2 linked regions of the Tribolium castaneum genome follow. The main gene of each other region encodes a partner of the protein of the gene in region 2 in a complex. Links are inferred from orthologs where the notes say so. Each region holds a gene or a part of one and is shown on either strand. Other genes may lie near its edges.

What was found. The genes of interacting proteins can lie anywhere in the genome.
Region 1: raptor (region 2) and Sin1 share a complex: the UniProt entries of both Homo sapiens proteins name them as parts of the mechanistic target of rapamycin complex. The link is inferred for Tribolium castaneum from reciprocal best matches to the Homo sapiens genes RPTOR and MAPKAP1.

The regions. Positions count from the first base shown.
Region 1 is NC_087397.1:9,927,726-9,931,258, forward strand, and holds Sin1 (target of rapamycin complex 2 subunit MAPKAP1), read right to left. Parts: upstream 2,307-3,533; 5' UTR 2,237-2,306; coding exon 2,146-2,236; intron 2,102-2,145; coding exon 1,558-2,101; intron 1,398-1,557; coding exon 1,159-1,397; intron 1,112-1,158; coding exon 779-1,111; intron 729-778; coding exon 544-728; 3' UTR 501-543; downstream 1-500. Other genes in the region: Pdzd8 (PDZ domain-containing protein 8), read right to left, coding at 1-50, 98-259; crb (protein crumbs), read left to right, coding at 2,645-2,693. UniProt on the Homo sapiens protein: Component of the mechanistic target of rapamycin complex 2 (mTORC2), which transduces signals from growth factors to pathways involved in proliferation, cytoskeletal organization, lipogenesis and anabolic output.
Region 2 is NC_087399.1:3,459,724-3,463,375, reverse strand, and holds the end of raptor (regulatory-associated protein of mTOR), read left to right. Parts: intron 1-1,526; coding exon of another isoform or gene 1,527-1,555; exon of another isoform or gene 1,556-1,568; coding exon 1,569-1,854; intron 1,855-1,900; coding exon 1,901-2,020; intron 2,021-2,067; coding exon 2,068-2,263; 3' UTR 2,264-2,852; downstream 2,853-3,652. Other genes in the region: sodium-independent sulfate anion transporter, read right to left, coding at 2,853-3,089, 3,140-3,307, 3,352-3,497, 3,546-3,652. UniProt on the Homo sapiens protein: Component of the mechanistic target of rapamycin complex 1 (mTORC1), an evolutionarily conserved central nutrient sensor that stimulates anabolic reactions and macromolecule biosynthesis to promote cellular biomass generation and growth.

The sequences.
Region 1 (3,533 bases), on a different chromosome or scaffold from region 2:
AAACTCGTCGCATCGTTCAATTCTTCACTATCCAATTGTTTTTTCAAAGACTAAAAGCGCTTCGATACACACAAAAACATAAATATTTAATACATACCTCTGGTAAAACGTAATCAGTAGAACACTTTTTCTCATTTGGTGTGACCACTGGACTTGTTTTAAAATAAGAATACAAAATATAATATTGCACCACGAGAGTCACTATAATACCAATTAAAAAAGATATAAAAACTAGGAACATGAACAAAAATATATCCATAGCGCTTTAAATTATATTATCACCATTTTTAGGCCCGTTTTGTTCGAAATAACACAAAGTGGAGTCAGTTTACCATTTTATAGCCCCCTTGTGCTTATCTCATATATGATAAGCGTCAAAAAAAGCCAAACATGATTTTCCTTTTTCTGTTTTTTTCTCAAGAGGGTAATGACACTCACAGCTGACAGGTGACGGTTGAGGTTATGTAACGAGGGTACGTTCCCAAATCATAACGCAAAAAAATAATTTATGAATTTATTATTATATTTTAGTATACAAGTTACTTAAATCAACGCTTTTTTCTTATAATATTTCCGTTCTTGCGCTGCCAAATACTCCTTCCGTGTGTCACTAGACCTCAAATCCAAAATCAGGTTTATTTTATTTACGATTTCTTCGGCAATTGATTGGTCTGCCTCAAATTCGTAACTTTTGAAGCTAGCTGAAGATTGTAAAGTTGGACTTGAAACTAGAAAAACAATTAAATAATCAAGAAAATTAAATAATTACAAAAAATACCATTTTCAGCGTTTGCGAACGAATGGCTGTAAATGATTTTGAAAGTCATTTTGTTGCTTTTGGTAGTTTCAATGGGTTCGCACCACGCGATCATGTCCATATCGTGGTTTATGGGTTTTTGTTTAACTAGAACAAATTTCGAGTTTTTTTGCACTGGGTCAATTTCGATTTTTTCGCCACTTATTCCTAAATGTATTTCAACTTTGGCCCGCATTTTATTAATCATGTAGACTTTGAACGATTTGTACAGTGGGGCTTCCATTGCTTTTTTATGAACGTCCATTAAGTGTAAATCGGTGGTGATTTGTTTTTCCTGGTCTTGTTTAGACGAATCTAAAGAAAAAATTTAAATTTTAAACCAAAATGTGGCAAAAGCGAACCTTTTCCTTTTTTGTCATTGTAATCGAATTTTCTGATTGTAACAGTTTCAGAGTTCCCAAAACTGACACACTTTGAGGGATCTGAATGTTCCACAAGCCCTAAACAAGCAAACCCAAATTTGGCAATATTTTCCCTCGGGTCCAAGTTGGGGAAGTCCCTATCCACTTCTCCGTCTTCTTCAGTTATGTACAAACCGTAATTGTTTACGGGCTTCCAAGGATAGTCTTCATACATTGTACTTAAAAATTTTGTTTTTCAATTATTTCATTTCCTGGTCAAAGTGGCCTGTGACTTTGAAATCAAGTTGGCAACATTTTAACGCTTAGCCAATAGCGTGCAACTATGTCATCAGTAACTTAGAATATTGCCAACCTAACTTCAGGATCAAGTTAACAAACCTGCATTTGAGTAATATAAGTCCAATCAACTCTTGAATTTTAGCAGAAGAGGTGCAACAAACAGCCAAGGGGTAATTCCTCTGGTGCTCTGGTAGCATTGTTAGGAAAATTCTATACTTCTTCACTTGAAGATTGACTTGTCCGCTGCCATCAAACTTGGCATAATCCATATAAGGGTTAATGGGCATCATCTTATGCTCCTTGAAGGTTTTAGAAAACAAAGATTGCTTCGGTTCTATTACTTTGGGTTCCTTTTTTACGAATAACTGATCAATTTGTTCCTCACTCAACTCGTTCTTGTTCGTTTCCCATTTAATATGTTTGATTCTGCCAGTTCTCTTTTTAACCTGTTCTAATTTTTCTAATCTTACGGCAGTATTCGATCTGTATCGTAACGGGAAATCGGTGTCAAGTTGTAGGTCGTAAGATTCGTGAGACAAATCATCTTCATCTTCACTGTCTTCGTCATCAGGGTACGAATCAAGGCTTTGCTTCAGGTGTTTCCTGACACCTTCCTCCCCTGTCATTATTAACTCGCACATTCCTAAAACTTTGTTAATCGAGTGTGATTTTGAAACCTAGCCAAACCTGTATCATCTGTAGAAATGAAAGAGTTGCGTATGTGTGATAATAACCAGTATTTGTTGTCGTAAAGGGCCATCGTGTCTGATGTAAACATTGACAAGTTAGGTTATGTAAGAACTTGACATAACGCTCATTATTGTTAGATAATAGGCGACAACGCTTTTTTTGAGCATATTTTAATATTTTAAAACGTGTCGTTTTATCAAAAAATCAAACACTTTTCGATATCATTGGCCCCAATTGCTAAATTTTTGAAATTTGGTTCATATTGGGAGCACTGTCTACACACAACAAAATCACTAAAATTGTCACTAGAAAAAGTGTTGTGTGGGTGCTGGGTGTTGTTGTCTTGTGAACCTGTCGTTTATTTTGTGTTTATTTACTGGTTTTAAATAATAAAATTATGTTTTTTTCAACATAAACACACCTCCCCGTTGTTGCTTCATGGTGCATATGATTTTAATGAATGTAACGAAAAAACCGCAATCCAGTTGTCTCAAAGATGGGTTTCTTGAGTTCTTGGAGGTTGGGACCAATTTCTGTTTTCTTGGGTAAGTCCTACTTCCGGTTTCGTACACGTTTTGGCTTTTTATAAAAGTAGTTGATTTGTATCTTTTGTTATTTAAATTTCCTTGATACAAAAATTAGAAAGGTTTTGGAACAATAACTGTTTCTGCAATGTGAGAAGATGAGGTGAGTCACACCGATTTAGGCCTCCGTTTCTCAGAAAAATGATTAACTCGGACGAAAAGTTTATTTTTGAGAGAAATTATGGCAAGGACATGGGGAGAGTTTTATGACCCAGCTTGCCATGACAACTCAAAGTCAACTGTGATTGATCATTACCTAATTTTTCTGTATGCAGTTTATTGACAAATAAATAAATCACACATTTTTTTCATAAATTTTGTTGGTTCCATACAACAAACAACCCCAAAATTAGGCTTGGTAGGTTTGGAACAAAATTCAACAGGTGTCCAGACAGGTGTTCCACCTGTGCCTAATTATGAATTTTTTGAATTATAAACAATTCTCATATAATGATGAAGTAATGAAATCGTACTTTTTACAGACTAGGCAAATAAATATAGGGCAAAATTCAATCAAGTCGGTTTAGTCGTCATGGCTACGGTGAACTATAAGCTAGGAGACGAAACGAGATTTTCTGGACCCGAAAAAATAGTACAACATTGTAAAAATGAGGGCGTTTCGAGCGTTATATCGTCTCAGTACCAAATCGTTTTAAATTAATTTAAATCCAACCAATTCACTAATTACTTGGAAAACATCAGGAACGTTAAGCTTTGCACTCTTAACAGACAGAAAAACTAACTATTAAAATTTTTATAAGAAACATAAGAAAAAAAATTAAAATTTTAAATTTGCGGTTT
Region 2 (3,652 bases):
AATGTGTTAAAGACGGTCGCTTATATTCTATTTGTTTAAATAAAAATTACTTATGTAGTTGTAAAAAAACTATATTTTATAATTTAATTAGCAAAGAATACATTTGCACTAATATATAACTTTTAATCGTTAGTTAGATTGGCCCTATCTCTTGCGTTATTACATAAATTTATCCCGTAAATGTTAATATTTCATTAATTAATTGCTGTTGTACTGAAAACTGCTTGAAATTGTATTTACCTAACTTAGTAGCTTTTACCATTTAAGTAGTAGTATTGAGTAGTATTTATCTTTAAAAAACGAAATTTTTTAGCTAAATATTTGGATAAAGAGTAAGGCATTCAAAGATTCCGGTTAAATAAGTTATTTTTCGGGCTAGTGAAAAATTAAATTAAGATACTGCGTTTTTGCTTAGGACCGTCGAATTGTCTAGCAATATTTATTTGAGTGTGGAAAAGTGCAGCTTTTGTGTTGGAATTCCTTACCGAATTTTAGAAATCTTGTGTTCAAATCGGCAATAAAATTGATTCTATCTTGAATTTTTATTTTCTAAAAATGAACAATAAATAAATTGGTTATAGAAAATGTTATTTCAATTTTTATTTTAGATGTTTCGATCAAAAAGCAAAAATTATATTTATTTGAATTTTTATTTAATTATTTTTAGAGGAAAATATTACGTATTTAATAACAATCGCTGGTTTCTGTGTAATTATCAGTTTTTGAGATGCTTTTAGCTGTCCCACTTTGTATACACATAATTTATGTGGAATAAAAAAACAATGAATTAATTATTCTTTTAGACATTACATTGTCACTTTGTGATAATCACTAAAATTACTTGATCGTGTAAAAATAAAGTAAAATAAATATAATAAAACAGTTTTATGGAACAAAGAAATGGATTAAAAATTACTGAATTTTCCTAAAAAGTTATTGGACTAAAGATATAGGAGGAGAATAATGTTTAATTAAATTTTTAACGAAGAAATAAAAATAGAGCCGTGGCTTACATTTAATGAAATAAAAACTTATCAGAATAAAAAAATCTTCAGCTAGATTTATTAAGTAAATTTTACAAACAACAGTATTGCATTTTTCGTAATACATTAAATAACGAAGGGAGCACGTGACATCCACTTCAAAGTTGGTTTCAAAAAGAAAGAATTTGAAACAAATTAAAAGCGAAATCTTACCTTGTGGGGTTTTGTCACTTTTTTACCAGAAAGATAATTTAAAGTGCAGTCACAACTGTTCTTATAATTATTTAATCAACTATTATATTAAATTATTATGAATTTTATTTGGCAAATCCAATTAAAAGACGTCGGTAATTCTAATTATAATAAACAACGAATTTTATTCAATTAATTACAAAAAAAAGAGCATAAGTTGTCTTTTAGCGTTTGCTTTTAATTTTATATATTTTTATATTTTATTTATACTGAAGTATTTCTAAGAAGAATATGCATTTGCATCCCTTTAATACATTTCTGGTCACTTAATCCTTGAGGTCCAATTTTCAGCGAGACTTTCCAGGTTTTTTAGAATTTGAACATTGTTATCAGGAGCGGACTGCGCGATCACTTGCATCGACTCGACATTTTCGGGCGTTTCGCACGAAAACTACAGTAAAGCGTACCTAGACCGCGAAAAAGACGACGAAGGAATTAGCATCGACGAGGATTTCAAATGGACTCGTTACGGCATGGTGGTGGCCGGCTTCCAAGACGGTTCAATCCGAGTGTTTGACCGCCGTTGCAGCCCCACAGAGGCCCGAATCGCCGTGTTTATGGAACATTCCGGCCCGATTTTAGGCGTCCACTTACTCGGAAACACATTTTATAGTGGAAGGTAATTCACCAATTTATTATTGAATTTTTCTAACGGAAAGTAATAGCACCGACGGCCACGTCCGAGTCTTCGACGTGCGCAACCACAGGGTTGTGCACACGACCCAAGCCATCCAGAACAACATGTCCTGCTTTGCGCTGCATCGGGGGACCGCCACCTACGCCTGGTATGTTAGCGGTGGTGGAGTTTGAGTTATTGTGTTGTTGGTTTCAGCGGGTCTCTGAACCAAAATGTGAGCATTTACGGGTTCAACGGGTGTCTCCTGAACACGATCAAGTTCTACGAGGGCTTCATGGGCCACCGTACCGGCAACGTCACGTGCCTGAACTACCATCCGCTGAAGGTGGCGCTGGCCACAGGCACGTCCGACTGCTCGGTGAGCGTCTACTGTTTGGAAGGTAAAAGGTGACGCGATTCCCAGCCCTAGAGCTCGGTCTGGAGCCTCTTGGGCTACTACTATTAGCGGAAATTTTGCTTTGCGCTTCGGTTTTACTGTAAATATTTTACGTTGGTAACTTGAAATTTTATCGTGTATATAGAATTTTAATTGAAACGCTTTATTGTAGCTATTAACCGAGTAATAGTACAGTACAGGGAATTTTGTTGTTAGTTTTTTAAGACTGATTGTTGTTTTACGAATTAGGGCGGGTAGGCCTACGCAACCGTAGGGTGATTCATACGTAGATGTGACCAGTTGTTAAGTAATTCTAAGCGAACGTTTCGATTTTTTTTATTATTGTGATACAAGCAATGCAGCAGAGAGAGAGAATGTTCGTCGTTACATTGTACTCAAGTTTAATTTTTTAGAGTGAATCTTTTTTTATCAAACGGACCGATCCGTTGAGTTACCTGAACTCTCGATAATTCTTTATACACTGGCACAACATTTGCACAAAAGTCCGATTGTTGGGGGTTCTTTTTTATAAAATCGTTTAATTGTGGCATAAGTCTTTTAATTTACAATTATAAAATAAATAAAATATATCACAACAAGCGTATCAAACGTTATCATAGTATGACATTTTCCTCTCACTTGTTCCCTTGTCGATCAGCGGAATTTGGCAGTCGTTCGTTTTGCTCGAATCGGTCTCACTGATGTTGTCCACGCTTTGGCACACTTTTAAATGATCGAAGTCGATCGTTTGCCGCCAAATATTGAAAATGTGCGGCTTGACGTTCATCAGAGTCACTTTTTTGTTCGTTTTGTTGAACGTTTTCACGAGATTATCGATTGTCTGGAACAAAACGTGGTCACAATTATTTCAAATACGTTTTATCCAAGCACCTGACAAGCTGCATAATCGACTCGTATAATATTTGAACAATCAAGGACGATGGGTAAATTACGCCTGTTATTATAGGCTTCAATTACGTTGGTTGTTAAGTAATCGGTTGCAGCGTAATAAAGACCGACTTCCGGCTTTATATAAATGTATTGGTTCCCCTGGTTGTCCTAAAACATTTTGAGTTCGAGTGATTACATTTTTCACAACTTACGACTCGAATTTCTTTGGTTATTTGGGGCCGTGCCCACACTTTTAACAAAATCAACAAATTTAAAAGCCCACCCGCGATAATTCCAATCTCGACACCGTAACACACTCCAATGGTTAGTGTTGCCAAAGTCAGGAAAAAATCAAACTCTAAACGAAAAAATTAGTCGGTTCCGTTTTTTTTTTTTGGCAACTCACTGTTACATTTCCACAGTTTGGGGAAAATTTCGTAGTCAAACATTGTGATAATCGCCGATATCAAAATAGCGGCGAGAGTCGACCTTGGGATGTAATAAAAATACGGT